2 linked regions of the Oryctolagus cuniculus genome follow. The protein of the gene in region 1 purifies or fractionates together with the protein of each later gene. This does not show direct contact. Links are inferred from orthologs where the notes say so. Each region holds a gene or a part of one and is shown on either strand. Other genes may lie near its edges.

Region 1 (7,442 bases):
TTTACGGTGTCTCAAGTGGTACCTTAACTTGTGTACCAAACGTCCACCATGACTATTTTACATTAACTCACTGTAATTTAAAACTTCTACACACTTTTTTAAAAAACAGCACGGCCTACCCCAACTGCCTGAGGGTGAAAGGAAGTCCCGGGGCACGCAGCCTAGCACAGAGCTCGATCAAGACCGCTGCTACTACCGGGAAACAGGCCGGGAGGGCAGAGCTGGGCCTGAGGTTCAGGGGTTCTGCTTTCGGGTCCCCTCTGCATTCAGGGAGGTGGCAGGGAAGCAGGCCGCCCCGGGGCTTCCCTGGCAGCACTGACCAGGTGCTCTGGAATCCCATCTTGCCTGCTATTAGCTGTCTCCACAATCCCGGACAAACCACTTCCCAGCCTGTCCTCACCCGCCCTGTGGGAGAGAGACCAGCGCTGAGCCTCCTGGCCCTGTGGGTCCCTGGCAGCCCCTAGCGTGGCCTGAGGATATCAAGTCACTTACTCTTGTCAGATTTCTTCTTCTCCTTCTTGCTCTTCGAGTTGCTTTGATCGCCTCCCTCAACCTTCGCTGTTCCGAGCTCCCCTTCTGACTTGTCCCTGGCCCCTGGGGAGCCAAAAGGCCCCTTCCCTTTCTTCTCCTGGCCATCACCACTCGCTTTGTCTTTCTTTGCTTTCCCCTTGGAAGTCCGGGAGGCCTTTTCTTGAGAATCAGCGCCCTCCCTACACTCCCCAGCCGCCGCCGGCTTCTTCTTCTTGCTCTTGGGGGCCTTGGGGGCCAGCTGGTCCACCACCAGCTTGCGTTTGCGGCCCTTCTTGCTGCTCTCCTTGGAGGCGTCCAGGGCTTTCTTCTTCTCCTGCTCCAGCAGCTCCGTCAGCACCTTCACCACCGAGGCCTGCACCTGGGCCTCACTCAGGGGCCAGGGCTCGCCCAGGAGGCGCTGGGTGATGCTGCTTGGCAGGATTGAGGCTTGGGTGCCCGGGGCGCCCTTCTTGGGCTTCCGGGGCTTTTGAGGTGTGGTTCCAGAGGTGGCCTGTTTTCTACCTGTGGAGAAAGAACTTGGGGTCAGACCTATGGGAGCTGGGGGTATGAGAGCTGAGGAGGTTCCGGGGAGACCCTGCCTCCCGACAATGGCACCGATGAGGAAAGTGCAGCCTACGGGTCACTGCGCCCCAATCTGGCTCCTAAGCCCACGCCTCTGCCAGCTTCCTACACTGACCTCACTTCTAACTTACAGCTTCTCTCTCACTCCAACCTCCACTCAGACAAGCCCGACCTAGAGCTGGAGCGTAACTGGGACGTGGAAGGCAGGCCAGGGCAAACCGCGTGTGTAGCTGGAGGCTGGAGCCTGGGTTCTGGGCCACGCTAGGCCACCCCTTTTTGCTGTGACTCTGGCCAGCCTCTGCTCCTCCTGGTCTTAAGGTTCCTGTCATCCGCAGTGGACTCCCAATGGAAGTGAACGCCGTGCAGGCGCATGGCTCTGCCCACTTGACACGGTGGGCCCATCGCCTCGGTGCCAGGTGTCCTGGCGCACACGTGGTGGCTGACTAAGCAGATTCACTGCCTGCCAGAGCGACTTCTGGTACAGCCTCTGTTTAGAATTTTCCACGCCTCTGCCTGCCTTTGATAATTGTGTGCTGACTACACGTGTTAAAAAAACCTTCCACAGCCCCCTCTAAAACATCTCCTTGTCGCACCCGCCTCCAACAAGGAGAACACTGGAGAAGAAAGTGAGCAGTGGCTCTGCTCCTGACCCAGCCCGGGGCGAGCTGCACCGAGAAGCCGGGGGACTGGACCCCAGTGCTGCCTCTGACCCCAGGACCACGCGGCACAGGGCTCCACCACACCAGCCCTGGACAGGTCCACTGGGAGAGGCCCAGCAGGGCACTCTGTGTCGCACGAGGCTGGTGCTGCTCCCTGTGGTGTGCAGGGAGCCTGACTATGCCCCAGCCCCGTGTGGGGGTCGCCGGCCGGAGGAAGCCCGATCCAGTCTTTTGGGGACTCTTGGCAAGGGCAAGAGCCATCTGGAAAGGAAAGCTGAGTGTGCCATCTGCCCTGACAGCCTCTGCCCCAGAGCTCACTGCTCTGCCATCTGCCCTGACAGCCCCTGCCCCAGAGCTCACTGCTCTGCTCCTTATCCACAAACGGCTCTGAACGTGGAGGCTGAGGAACCCCTAGTGCTGTCGTAGGTGTGTCCATCCGGGACACTTGCCCTGTAGCTCTGGCAGTGTCAGGGATGACAAATGTCCAGGTCGGGTGACCTCAGTCCTCTGGTCTACTCTTCAAATATCATGCGGCTATTTTCCAAGGTGGGGGGGGGGGCACAGCTTGATTCAGACCAGAGACACTGACCCCTGCCTTGTTAAGACACAGGCCCAGGGGCTGATGGCCTGCTGGGAGGCTTTAGGGCAAGGCGGAACAGCCTGGGGGCCACCCCTTAGCCAGAGTGTCCTCCATGTGCCAAGACTCTTCCACACATGGCCCACCCTTTGGTCTGAGCCCCACACGGGCCCAGGAGCCCATTCGCTGGGAAGACGAGTCAGCAAGCACGGCTAGAGAAAGGCAAGGCCCACTCCACAGGCCGAAGATGCTGCTTCCTCTAGGCAGGGGCATCCCACAGGCATATCACCCCCTCGGGGCAGGATACAACTCAACGTCAGGCCACCCCAGACCACAGACAATCCCTGTGCCTGGATGAGCTCCTCCAGGCCCACGGCAGAACCACAAGGCCTCACTTGGACAGGTACTGGTGGGAGTGCTGCTGGGGCAGGGCAAGAAGGGACCCACGGCCCTGTCTTCCCACATCCTGCTGTGTCTGTTAACTCACCTGCTTTAGGGGACACAGTGCCCACGGCTTGCTGTGGCTCTGCCTCCTGCTTGCCATCCAGGTCATCTTTGGTAGCCGGAGTAGAGGAAACTAAAGGGTTGGAGTCTGGCCTGGGAGTAGACTTTGAAACCTGGGAATTGGCTGGGGTCAGCCCAGGAGCCACATAACCTGAGAGGAGAGACTGCAGAAGCCCAGTGTGAAAGAGGCCGCCAGCCCACCCCACCTTGCCCCCGCCACACGGCCTGCTGGGAGGAAGCCAGTCCTGGCACATCCAGGTCCAGGCCAGGCCTGTCAATGCAGAGTGGACACTACAGTCCCCAAGGGGGACTTCCGTGTACACTTTCTAAATTATTTTAATCAATGCAGACACGTTTAAAAAGGAAATCTCCTATTATAAATGCAAACGGAGGTTTGGTATTTGGTACAGCAGTTAAACTGCTGCGTGGGACGCCCACATCCCATATGGGAGTGCCCAGGTTAGGGTCCCAACTCTGCTCTCCATTCCAGCTTCCTGCTAATGTGCACCCTGGGAGGCAGCAGGGGATGGCTCAAGTACTTGTGTCCCCGTCACCCACGTGGGGGACCCATATTGAGTTTTTGGCTACTGGCCTTCACGTGGCCCAGTCTGGGCTATAGCGGTCACTTGGGGAGTGAACCAGCTGACGAAGACACCTCCGTCTCTTTCTGCTTTTCAGATAAACAAAACAAAGAAAACCAAAACCAAAAACTAAGAAAAAGCAAACCATCAGCAGCACGTGCCGCGGACAGGGGCAGCCCCCTGCATTCTGCCTGGCGCCACTCAGAACGCAGCGCAGTCTTTCTTACAGCCCCAGAGGCTGACAACCTGCAGCTCTGAGCTGAGTGCAACCTTGGGGCAGGAGCAGCCTGGCTGTGTTGTGCTGCCTGGGCCACACCTGGTGGCTTGCAACCGGGACCTTGCCCGGGGTCGGCCTCAGCCTAGGACTACGCAAGGCAGATCAGATTCTGGCCCGGGGTTCCCGGCCCAAGACGCATGAAGTCACCAACACTGTCCCCCGCCCCGCAGTTACCTGGGAAGGCGCCACCACCTCATCCTCACTGGACTCGGAGGTCTCCTCCACCAAGGTCTCCTTCCCAGCGGGGACTGAACCTGCTGGAGAAGCACAGGTATCCTGTCGGGAGTCCCTGGTGGCTCCTGCCAGCTGGGCAGGGCAGAGCAGAGCTCTTCAGAAGGGCCTGGGGAGGCCCTGATCTTGGGTGTGTCCTCACCCACCTGCCCAAGGCTTCCTATGGGTCCCCATCCACAGCATTCCAGGTGACACCTCAACGCCCAAGCCTTGGTTTCTAATTCCCAAGACACCACTCATATTTCCCCACCTTCCCTCGTCGGGGAAACACGAACCCGGAATTTTAGGGAGTTGGTCATTAAAGGGAGCATATCAAAACGCTGCCAGGGGTCAGGTCTTTGAAATCATTTGTACTGAGTCCCTCACGGAGTTGTGCAGGCGGGGAAGCTGTAGCCCAGCGTGCAACCACTTGGCCCAGGCCATGGAAAAATTCGAGATCCAGAGCTCAGGCCACGGCCTGCTGCTCCATTAGGTGCGCTTCTCTCTCCCCTGGGCTGCCCGTCCCTCCCCCCCCCCCCCCGCACCTTACCTGGCCTGGGGGTCGACTTGGTCAGCTGGGGTCCCTCGGCACCCTCCTCGCTCCCTGAGGAGCTGTTGCTGCTGTCCTCGCTGTCATCTGAACTCCCAGGGGCTTTGGCCTTGGGGTGTCCCAAGGGAGGGGCTGTGGTCTGCTGGCCTTTGCTTTTTCTGAGGTTACTGGTCACTTTGGCCTGGACAGCGGCGCTCTGAGGACTCGTCACGGGGAGTGTTCCCACAGTCCCGTCAACCTAATTTGGTTTAAGAATGGAAGGAAGTATCAGGGTAAGACCTGGTCCTGCCTGAACACTTCAGTGTTGGGCCTCCTGAGATGCTTCCCACCACTCTGAAGAGGGGTCCTGCAAGTCCTTCTCCCATATCAGCCCACCGTGCCCCAGGGACATCGAGACAGCACTGATGTGCCAGGGCAGCAAGGCCTGCGGCCGGGACTCGGCCACACCCGCAGCCTCCTATCTGCACCCTGTGGCGGGGCTGAAAGGTGAACACAGCCTTGCCTCTGGAGCAAAGCGAGGCGGTGTGGTCCCCGGGCTCCCCAGACTCACCCCGCTTGAAGACTGGGTCCTGGCACGAGGAGGCTGGGCCTCACTTGCTTTCTGCGCGAGGACCTTCAGGGCAGCCTGGGTCAGCGGGAGGGATGCTGGGTTCCTCTTTGCCACCTGTGGATAGCAAATAGCAGCCCTGAAATTCATGGGTTCTTGGGGTGTCACCTAGGCCGTGCCTGGATCAGACTAGGTCTGGCTGCGGTGGGAGGGGACCATGGGACTTGAGTTGGGGGGCTGAGGGACAGTCATAAGAGCAATATCACTCTCTAGGCAGAGAAAGGAGTGCCAGGCCTCAGGTTATGAGCTGGTCCGTGTTCTCAAAGCACAGAGCGAGCTTCCTAGGCCAAAGCAGGGAAGGGGCCCGGGCCCTACAGGAAGCTCCACACTCAGTCTCTGCCCTCCTCGGAGACCCATCTCATGCCTCGTGGTCTCCCTGGTACCACTCCTACTTCTTCCACCCACCAGCACTTGGAGAGAACTCAAAGCTGGGAGAGTCCTTGCAGAGGGCCTCAAGGTTCCCACGCAGGGCCCCTCAGCTGTCGCACAGCCCCTCTGCCTTTGCTACTTTCTCCCTACCTTCTCTTAGATGCTTTCCCAGGCCTGGGGTCATGGCACCATGGCCTTCCTGCCTGCATGGCACCCCAGCACACCCTGTACGCGGCCACGTCCCCTGCTTCAAGGCCACCTCCCGGGCGAGCATTCCCTGCCCAACTTCCTATAGCAGGTCACCCCATCATCCTGAGCTTGCGCTTGGTGCCCTCTGCAGCACCTCCAATTTGGTGAGAACTTTTTGTTTAATGGCTGCTGTCCTCCCCGTCCTGCTCTGGCCTCAGCCCCAAGGCCTGGCATGGAGGGATACAGGGTTTTGGGGGCTGTGACCCCAGCCTGGCTACCCACCCAGCACCCATGCTCCCAGAAACTCTCCCTGGACTGTGGCTCGTGAAGAGCCAGTGAGAGGGGGGCATGCCCAGGTACCAGTGCCTCAGAAAGAGGCATGGAGTCTGCAGTGGGCATCTCTCCAGGCGATGGGCAGCAGACTAGTATGGCCAAAGATGCTGAGGGCCAAGAGCTAGGTCTGCCGAGCCCAGGCCCGGTCAAACTGGAGGCCCCTGGGGAGTGCACGCTAGTTTCAACATTGAGATAGTGGGCCACCAATCCTGCCCTGCGCAGTCTTGAGATTCAGGCAAGGACCAAACACGCACTGAAATGGTGACTGTCAGGGAGACTGATAAAGTCACCATAACACATGCTTAAGTAGAGCATTTATCATGTTCATGCAAAGAAAACAAAAATGCAACTGGCCAGCAGAGCTGTGTCCCCAGACTGCTCTTCCTGACAGCTTAAGGTGGCTCTGAAACCTGCGGGCTGTGGCCACAAGACCAGGAAGGCCTTGGCTACTGCCACCGCCGGGGTGCACAAGTGTGCAAGTGACAGCCAATTGTAGCCCCTTGCCCCACAGGCCTGTGCAGGTACCTGCGGGGCTGGTGTCTCCTGCTTCTTGCCTTCTGACACCCGACTGCTCTCCTCGCTGCCGCTGGCCCCAAGGCCTGTCCTTGGGTGGCCAGTGGGCACCACGCTGGTTCTGTAGGCTGAAAAAGAGAGGGATGGGGCAAGTAAGTGCCCAGGAGCCCCACGGCCTCCCCAGCACTGGCAATACCCCAGTCCAGCACTCAGCCCTTCCTGGGGCCCTGTGCCACGCTCAGGGCTTCTACAGGAGGAAGCTGGCATAGCCCCTCCTCGAGCCTGCCAGGCGGGCGCTGTCCCTGTGTCACAGCTGGGCTGAGGGGGCCCGAAGAGCTGCTATGGCAGTGAGTTTCTTTTCCTCCGCTCGCCTCTCCGCAGGCCAGGCTGCTGCTCCTGAGCAAGAGGCTGGCAGGCGGCGGCCAGGGCCGTCCTTGTGGCTGCAACATCTCACGAAAATCGCCCAAAGTGTCTGTGGTTGCGTGCTGCTCACTGCAGCAGCGGATACAACAGTCCCCACCAAACCCTCGCGTCCTCTGACAGGGCACTGGCCAGGAGGAACCACGCGGGAAGGATAGGAGGACCAAAATCCCACAGCATCCCGAGATAGCCACTCAGAATCCCGGGGCCTCACTTTAAAGACAAACATGTCCACCCTAGGGTTTTGTAAGGTTAGCAACTAAACCCTCAACAGTGATGGGGGCAGTGGGATTACAGGGGGTGTTGTCTTCTTTTGTGCTAACCTGTATGTCTCAACTATCTCGCCAGTTATCAGATATTACTTCCTCGTAAAAGTGTAACATCAACAATGGTGACATCGACCATTTTCTTGCTATCACTGGTAGAAGCAAAGAATCTCAGAAGTCAAACCCCAGAGCTGGTCCTGTCTCTGCTGACGCAGTCCCTCCCCGAAGAGTTCCTGTTTAGGGATCACCTAATGAGACAAGTGCCTCAATACCCTCCTGACAGCCCACTGATACA
Region 2 (7,442 bases), on another chromosome or scaffold:
CTGGGGAGCTGGGGAGAGGGTGCACCAGGCTGAGGCTGACCTGGAGGGAGAGGTGCGGCAGGCAGGGGAGGAGGGAGTGGGCCCCCTGAAACCCTCACGGCAAGGACCCTCCCAGTCCTGCTCACCTTCCCGATGTGGGGGCTCCTCTTTGGGCTTGGGGTGCATCAGGGTGAAGGGCAGCTCCACGGCCACGTCACTGAAACAGAGAGCCAGGCCTGCTGAGCCCAGGCCTCAGCGGGAGGGCTGCGGAGGGCTCTCTGGCCCTCACTCTGCACTCTCCAAGATGGAGATCTTTCTAGGGGAGGAATGTAGGAGACCTCCTCCCCTGTCCCTGATGGAAACAGAACTTCCCCTTCCTGGATCAGGGCCCCCGGACACGGGGGCACGACTGCCCAGGCCAGTGCACACCATGGCCACTGGGGGCCCTGCAGGTGCCCTGAGCCCCGCCCATCTCAGACGGCCACAGCCACCTCGGCCCTTCCCAACTCCTGGCTGGGAGTGTGCCCACCCCTCCCAGCACCTAAAACAGTGCCCAGCTGACCCTGGATACCTGCCACCTGCAGGAGGCACGGCTAGAGGTACATTTTACCAGTGTCGGGTCAGCTGGGACCCAGGGCCCAAGGCTGTCCACACAGGTTTGTGGTGAATGGGAGGCATCAGCCACCGGCCAGGGCTTTGGACTTGACCTTCTCTGCCGGGTCCCTGCGGGGCAGGACAGGGAGGGCAGAGATTTCCACGGCACTGACTCGGCCAAGGACTCTCCTGGGCACTTTCCATAAAGCAACTCGTTGAATCCTCACAACAACTGTATCATTGCCCCCAATGTATGGGTGGAGAAACTGAGGCACAAGGAGATGAAAGCATCCTGCCCAAGGCTACACAGCTATTCATGGGGAGTGACAGAGGATTCTGGCTCCAGGGCCACACCCTTCAGCACTGTGTGACAGCAGCGGCCTGAAGCCATCTTGGAGCAACACCCTTCACCCTGGGATCTCCATCCCGACCCTGACCCATGGGCACCTCCAGGGTCCGGCTGGGGAGTGGAGCAGTCAGGGGCGTAGGCTGAGCTGAGAGTGGATCCCGCCAGCCCCGCCACTCACTGGCACAGCACTGGGGTCCGGAAACCTCTGCTGAACTCAACCGAACAGAGCTGAATGACTTTCCTCTCACACTGGACTAAGTATTCTTGGGATGCTTGGCCAGGGATGCTTGGCCAGGGAGAAGCCAGGGCGTGCATCTTAGGAGGGTGGGTCTATCCGGCTGGCACCCAGGCCATCTCATGCACAAATGTGGCTCCCCGAAGGGCCTCTCCTTGGCTCACCAGCGGGCAAGTCGGGAAGTCACAAAGCCTGCACTTCTAAATACCCTGTAATCCAGTAGCTCGGGAATTCAGTGATTTGCTGCTGGCGAGAGCTGAGGACTAGCAGGGCGCAGCTTCCTGAGTAGATACTGTGTCTTTCTCGAGAGCATTCTGGCATCAGCACGCACCTGACCTTGGCCATCTGAAACGGCCACTAAGGGTCCTTCCAACCCAGCGCCCCATGCCCCTGCTCCATGGGGTATCTGGGCCCTGCAGGAAGGTAATCAACCAGGCCAAAGCGAGGGACATTACCTGGACGCAAGATCTCCCAGCAGGCTGGGTGGGTCAGAGGAGGCAGGAGGAGTGGTCAGGAGAGTTGAGAGAGGAAAAAACAGAAAGCACATTCATTCACCACCTCTGCTGCCCCTCAGACAGAGCAGACCCTGGGACATACACGCCCCCCTCCCCTGGGGGCGCACTGCCAAGCTCAGCAGGCCCTTTCCTTCGGAAAGCAGGTGCACACGTGAGCTCCGGGGCCGCCACGGTGGCACAGGGCGCCAAGCCGCTGCCTGCGATGCGACATCCCACACCGGAGGCACAGGTCTGAGTCCCGCCCAGCTCCGTGCTAACACGCCTGGGAGGCAGCAGGTGATGGCCCAAGTAATGTGGGAGACCGGATAGAGTTCCAGGCTCCTGGCTTCAGCCTGGCCCAGAGCTGGCTGTTGATGCCATTTGGAGAGTGAACAGGGGGTGGAAGATCTCCTCCCTCCCCCTGCAAAAAAAAAAAAAACCCACTCCAGTGCTGCCTGCCCTGCCTGTGGTTCACCAGGAGCACTGCACAGGAGACGCCATGTCTAATGGATTTAGCTTTTCTTTTCTCTTTTAAGCTTTTATTCATTTATCCGGGAGGCAGAGACACAGAGAAAACTCCCATCCGCTGGTTCGCTCCCCACTGAACTGCAACAGCGAGGGCAGCCGAAGCCAGGAGCCAGGAACCCAATCCAGGCTGCCTGTGTGAGTGGCAGGAAGCCAGCTCTCTGAGCCACACCGCCGCCTCCCAGGGTCCCCATCAGCAGGAAACCAGCGCCAGGCCTCAAACGCAGGTGCTGTGGCACGGGCATCCTCAACCCGCTGCACACCTGCCCCTACACGGCTGTTCAACCTCGCTACAGACACTCCTAAACTAAGTCAGAACAAGTTCTCTGACCCGTGAGAAATCCCGGTTCCGGTGTATAACACGTCCGTCCAGGACGTGGGGAGAGGGGAGGGCTGCTCTGAGTCCCCACTGACGAACTCTGCTCGGGGCAAGGAAGCACCTGGTCCCCGGCTGTGACCCCGACACCCAGGCCGCACCCTGACCTTCATGGGGGTGGCAAACTGTGGGCCTCAGCTTCCTGCCCTGTAAAACGGGAAAGCCAGGCCAGCCAGCAAACCCCCAATCTGCCTGAGTCCCTTGGGCTATGTCCCCAGCGGGAGTGGGGTGGGTGCTGCACTGCAAGGTGGGTGAGGGGCTCAGTCCCCCCGGGACCCCCAGCATGGATGTCCTCCCCTGGGGCCCTGGCCGACCCTCAGTGCACGCTCCAGACACAAAGAGGAGGGTGAGGATGGGGAGGAGGAAGAGAAGGGACAGGAAGCCTCGTGCCCAATCCTGCTGCGAACGAGAAGATGGACCGGAAGGCAGGGGAGGGGGGCGGGGGCTGTGGGCGCGGACGGCCCCTGGGTGCCCTCAGGCTCAGCTCCCGCACTCACCCGCCCCGTGACACCACCAGCTTGACTTTCACTTTGTAGGAGACGATGATGCCCAGGATCTCGCGGTTGGCCCCTTCCCGCATCCTGTGGGCGACAGGGGAAGCTGGCTGGGAGGCCGATGTGGGTGTGCGGCAGTAGGGGCAGCGGCCACCGTGTCCCACGGGCCTCCCTCCCCTGGCCGCAGCCCTGCTCCTCCCACCCTCCAGGGAGCCAGCGGCCACGGGGGCCAGGGGCCAGGGCTCAGGGAAGGCCTTCTGGGAGACCTGGAGGATGGCGGGAGTGGGGGGTGGGGGGCAGGGGCAGGGAGCAGGCAGGTCAGCGGGCAGTCCAGGCGGGGGTGGTGAGGACACAGTGTAGCCAGAGCCAAGGGACCACATTCAGAGTGGACCAAAGTCCCCAAGGGAGGGTGGCATGACTGCTTCTCCCGCAGGGCCTTACCAGAGCAGAGAGGCCTGGAGAATCAGAGGGACAGGGGCAGCCACGTGGTCCTGGGGCAGCCCACACCTCGTGTGGCCCAGCTCGCCACCCCACCCCTCCTGTCCACCCTCTGCCGCCAGGGCCCTTCCAGGCGCCACTGCCTTCCTCCCAGCCTTGCGGGTCAGCAGCTGCCACCTCTTACAGGAAGCCTTTCTAGGTTGCCTCCCCCCGAGTGACTGACAGAGCAAGGCAAGTGGATCTAGCAGTCTGGGGGACAGCCTCCCTGACAGGTCGAGCTCCTAAGGGCAGCCCAAGCTCTGTCCTCACACTGGCGCACGGCAGGCGTGGGGGTGGGGGGCAGGGCCTCACAGGGTGCTGGAGGCCAGGTTCGTGTCCTCGTGCTTGAGCTTCCCATCCAGGGCGAGGCCCCGCTTCTCTCGGTTGTTGGCCAAGAAGGGGGTGAGCGTGTAGACCTTGCAGAACGTTGAGCTGGGCGCCACAGTGTCGCTGGGAGGAAGAGAGGCAGGTGTGGACTCGTTCCCCCTCCCCCTGCCAGGACACCCAGCCTGGCCCCACCCCGGGCAGGCAGACCACTGCCCCACGACATACACGGTCCAGCCGGGTACACTGCACTAAAAGCCACCGCACACACCCCGCACCCGCCACCTCGGTCTATGGTCTACACCGAGGACCTGCTGGGGGCGGGCACGCGGCCTGCTGGTTAAGACACCACTCGGGACGCCGGTTTCCCTCACTGCAGGGCCTGGATTCGCAACGGGGCTCCAGCTCCTGAGCCCAGCTTCCTGCAGTGTGCACCGTGCGCCCTGGGAGGCAGCGGGGATGGCTCAGTGATGGGCGCCTGCACCGAGTTCCTGGCTGTTCCCCTCCCCTGCCTCCATCCTTGCCACCTGTGGTGGGCGTCTGGGGAGGGACCCAGCAGCCAGGAGCTCTGTCTGCCTCTTAACAGAGTACAGAAAACCCGGAGTCTGCTGCTCTGTCTGTCCTGGGTCTGTCCATCACACACAGGGCACTTAAGTGTCCCATGTTCACCTGCTTCTGCGCCAGCCGCCCTCCCCCACTGCTGCCCAGGGCCAGGCCCAGGCCCAGCTTGCGCACCGCGGCTCCGCGAGGCCAAGTGAGTGAGTCATGTGTCTGGGAGCCCAGTTCCGATGCACACATGGCCTGGGCCACCGCCACCTCTGCCTCCCGCTGTGTGTTGTGCGGGTGCTGGCACGCCCTGCACAGCCTGGGAGAGCAGGCGAGGGGCCTTCAGGAAGTCCGTGCAAAAGTGCACTCGAAGCAAACTGCGTGTGTATTTCAAACTTTCTGCACCAAAATAAACCTCTCTTTCAATTTTTTTTTTTTTTTTGACAGGCGGAGTTAGACAGTGAGAGACAAAGAGACAGAGAGAAAGGTCTTCCTTTTTCCATTGGTTCAGCCCCCAAATGGCCGCCACGGCCGGCGCGCCTCCACGATCCGATGGCAGGAGCCAGGTGCTTCTCCTGGTCTCCCATGGGGTGCAGGGCCCAAGGACTTGGGTCATCCTCCACTGCACTCCCGGGCCACAGCAGAGAGCTGGCCTGGAAGAGGAGCAGCCGGGACAGAATCCAGCGCCCCAACCAGGACTAGAACCCGGGGTGCCGGCACCGCAAGGCGGAGGATTAGCCAAGTGAGCCACAGCCAGCCTTTTAATTATGTTTTGAAAATTATTATTTGAGAAGCAGACAGAGACAGACAGAGACAGCTTCCCTCTGCCGGTCCCTCCCCTCGGGGGCCCTCGGGGGCTGAGACTAAGCCAGGAGCTGGGAACTCATCCAGGTCTCCACACCCTTGAGCCCCCGCTGCCTCCCAGGTGTGGCATCAGCAGGAAGCTGGAGCCAGGACTTGAACCCGTCCACTCATCTGTTGACTCCATTTTCCAGGAAGTGTTTGAAGTCACCCTGTGTGTTGCTCGGGCTCTGGGTCCCATCACTTTACCTCTATGCACCTGCGGCTCTGTTATTGTTGTCTTAATGAATGGTGACTGTAAGAAACAGCCAATGATAGAGCAGTGTTGGCTCTGATCAGGGCATGCTCACCCACGGGACAGGAGAAACTAGCCAAGGACTACGTGGTAATACTTTCAAAATGTTTTGAGTTGAAGAAATCCGGACTGCAATTATATGTAAACATATACAAGTGTGTGAGGTTACATAAGGCACACTGCCAAAAAAAATATTTGCAGGAACTTCTAACGGGAGCGCCTACTGCGTTTAGGTAATTAAAGATGTTTCACCTGCAGTCTCTGCTCCTGCCTTGGCACCAAGCTGGGGACGAAGTTCTGCTGCGGCCATAGCAGCCCCCCTCAAACCCAGAACTTCTCGGGGTACCCTCCCAAATGACTCCTTTCATGGGAAAAGCTGTACACCCTCTGCCTTACCCTCTTTGCCTTGGCTACCAGGAAGCTCAGTGCCAAGTCCTCCCTTCAACCTGGGTTTCTGACCTTGTATGATTCCCCCTCCCCACAGCTCCAGTCCCCTTACATTCACCAGCCTTTCTTTTGTCATTTCTGTTTTTCCGGGTCTTTCCCTCGACTAGAGAACTTTTCATGGCCTTCTGGAAGGCTCTTGCATCTCCCACCCTGCGGGGCAGGAAGGTCAGGGCCCAGGACTCCTTTCCCAACACTTCCCGTGTCCAGCACAAGGCATCCGCTCACTTACTCGGCCTCCTCCATGGCCACAGGGCACTTGTACTGCGCGGTGTTGAAGAGGCAGATGTCTGCGTACTGGCGCACTGCGGTAGGGGACAGCAAGGTGCGTGAGCCCTTGGGGCAGCCGGAGGGGAGACCACCTTCATCCTGCCCCCCAGTGGCGTGGCCTGAGACCCCCCCCCCTTCCCTTCCGGGACAGCTCCGCCCCAAACCCGGGACACCTAGGAGACACAGGCGACTGACAGGTGACCTGGCCAATAGAAGGCCGGAGGCACCAACAAGCACCACGCCCGCGGCTCGAAGCTGGCAGGGAGGAGGCCGCTAGCAAGGGCAGGTAGGTCCCTGGGCCATCCCTCCTCGCCCGCCCCCGACCGGGTACCCGAGATCTTGATCTTCTTCACGGTCTTGTTGGTGTTGTTGGTGACGTGGACGTTGACACTGATGGGCTCCCCGTGGTAATAGATCTGGGAAGGCGGGAGGAGAGGGTTGGCGGGGAGGCCCCCCAGACCCGGCTGTTCAGACCGCCATCCCCGGTCCTGCGGCCGCAGTGCGCTTAAGTGCAGGCGGCATGGACGCCACCACGCCCGTGAAGCTTCAGCTTCCCAGCGGGGCGCTGCCCAGACCCCGCCCAGGTGAGCAGGTGGTGGTCCTGGGCCCCAGTCCCAGTCTGGCCACTCATAACCCTGGGAACAACAGTGACCATGACAGCAGCCTGACCGTGGGCCTCAGGGTCTTTGTGTGATGAGGGCCACGGCTCAGGTCCCTGCTGGCTCAGGCTGCGGGAGGGGGTGTGGGGGTGTGGACGGTGTTCAGACCGGGGAGGGTGAGGAGGGCAGTGCCGCTCGCAGAGGGTGCCTCAGCCCGCCTCCTGTCCCAAGCACCCGCCTGCAGCTGCCCCCAAGAGCCAGAGCAGGTGCCCACAGCTCAAGGAAGGGATCAGGAAGCTGGGAGCTTGGGGCGCCCTCTCCCTCCCGTGCAGCTTGCTGCCCAGGTGTTCACTGGGGGGAGGGGTGACCCGGCCCCTCCCACTGACACTGCTCCCCTCTGCCACTCCTCCAGGCCCTGGGAGGCTTCCTCATGTTCCCAGGGGAGAGCTGAGATGGCCTGACCTGTGACCCTAGAGCTGAGGTCTGAGGTCCAAGCCCCCTGCCCACAGGCCCGCGTTCCCTACCTCCTTATCCAGGGAGGCCTCCAAGTGCAAGGGCTTGTCTGACATGAGGAACTGCCTGGTGGTCTCAGCCGTGGGCTGGGGGCCGGGCCTCTCTGGAGCATACTGAACCTTCCGGA

The links.
Region 2: the proteins of TCOF1 (region 1) and ARRB1 purify together in Homo sapiens (affinity purification with western blotting; 5 studies listed by BioGRID and IntAct, with this or other methods). This does not show direct contact. The link is inferred for Oryctolagus cuniculus from reciprocal best matches to the Homo sapiens genes TCOF1 and ARRB1.

What each region holds. Positions count from the first base shown.
Region 1 is NC_091437.1:37,673,144-37,680,585, reverse strand, and holds part of TCOF1 (treacle protein), read right to left. Parts: intron 6,590-7,442; coding exon 6,474-6,589; intron 5,115-6,473; coding exon 5,001-5,114; intron 4,689-5,000; coding exon 4,451-4,688; intron 3,948-4,450; coding exon 3,865-3,947; intron 2,997-3,864; coding exon 2,816-2,996; intron 1,033-2,815; coding exon 493-1,032; intron 1-492.
Region 2 is NC_091432.1:66,411,996-66,419,437, forward strand, and holds part of ARRB1 (beta-arrestin-1), read right to left. Parts: coding exon 7,327-7,442; intron 6,620-7,326; coding exon 6,535-6,619; intron 6,239-6,534; coding exon 6,166-6,238; intron 3,974-6,165; coding exon 3,836-3,973; intron 3,134-3,835; coding exon 3,050-3,133; intron 1,637-3,049; coding exon 1,613-1,636; intron 197-1,612; coding exon 126-196; intron 1-125. UniProt on the Homo sapiens protein: Functions in regulating agonist-mediated G-protein coupled receptor (GPCR) signaling by mediating both receptor desensitization and resensitization processes.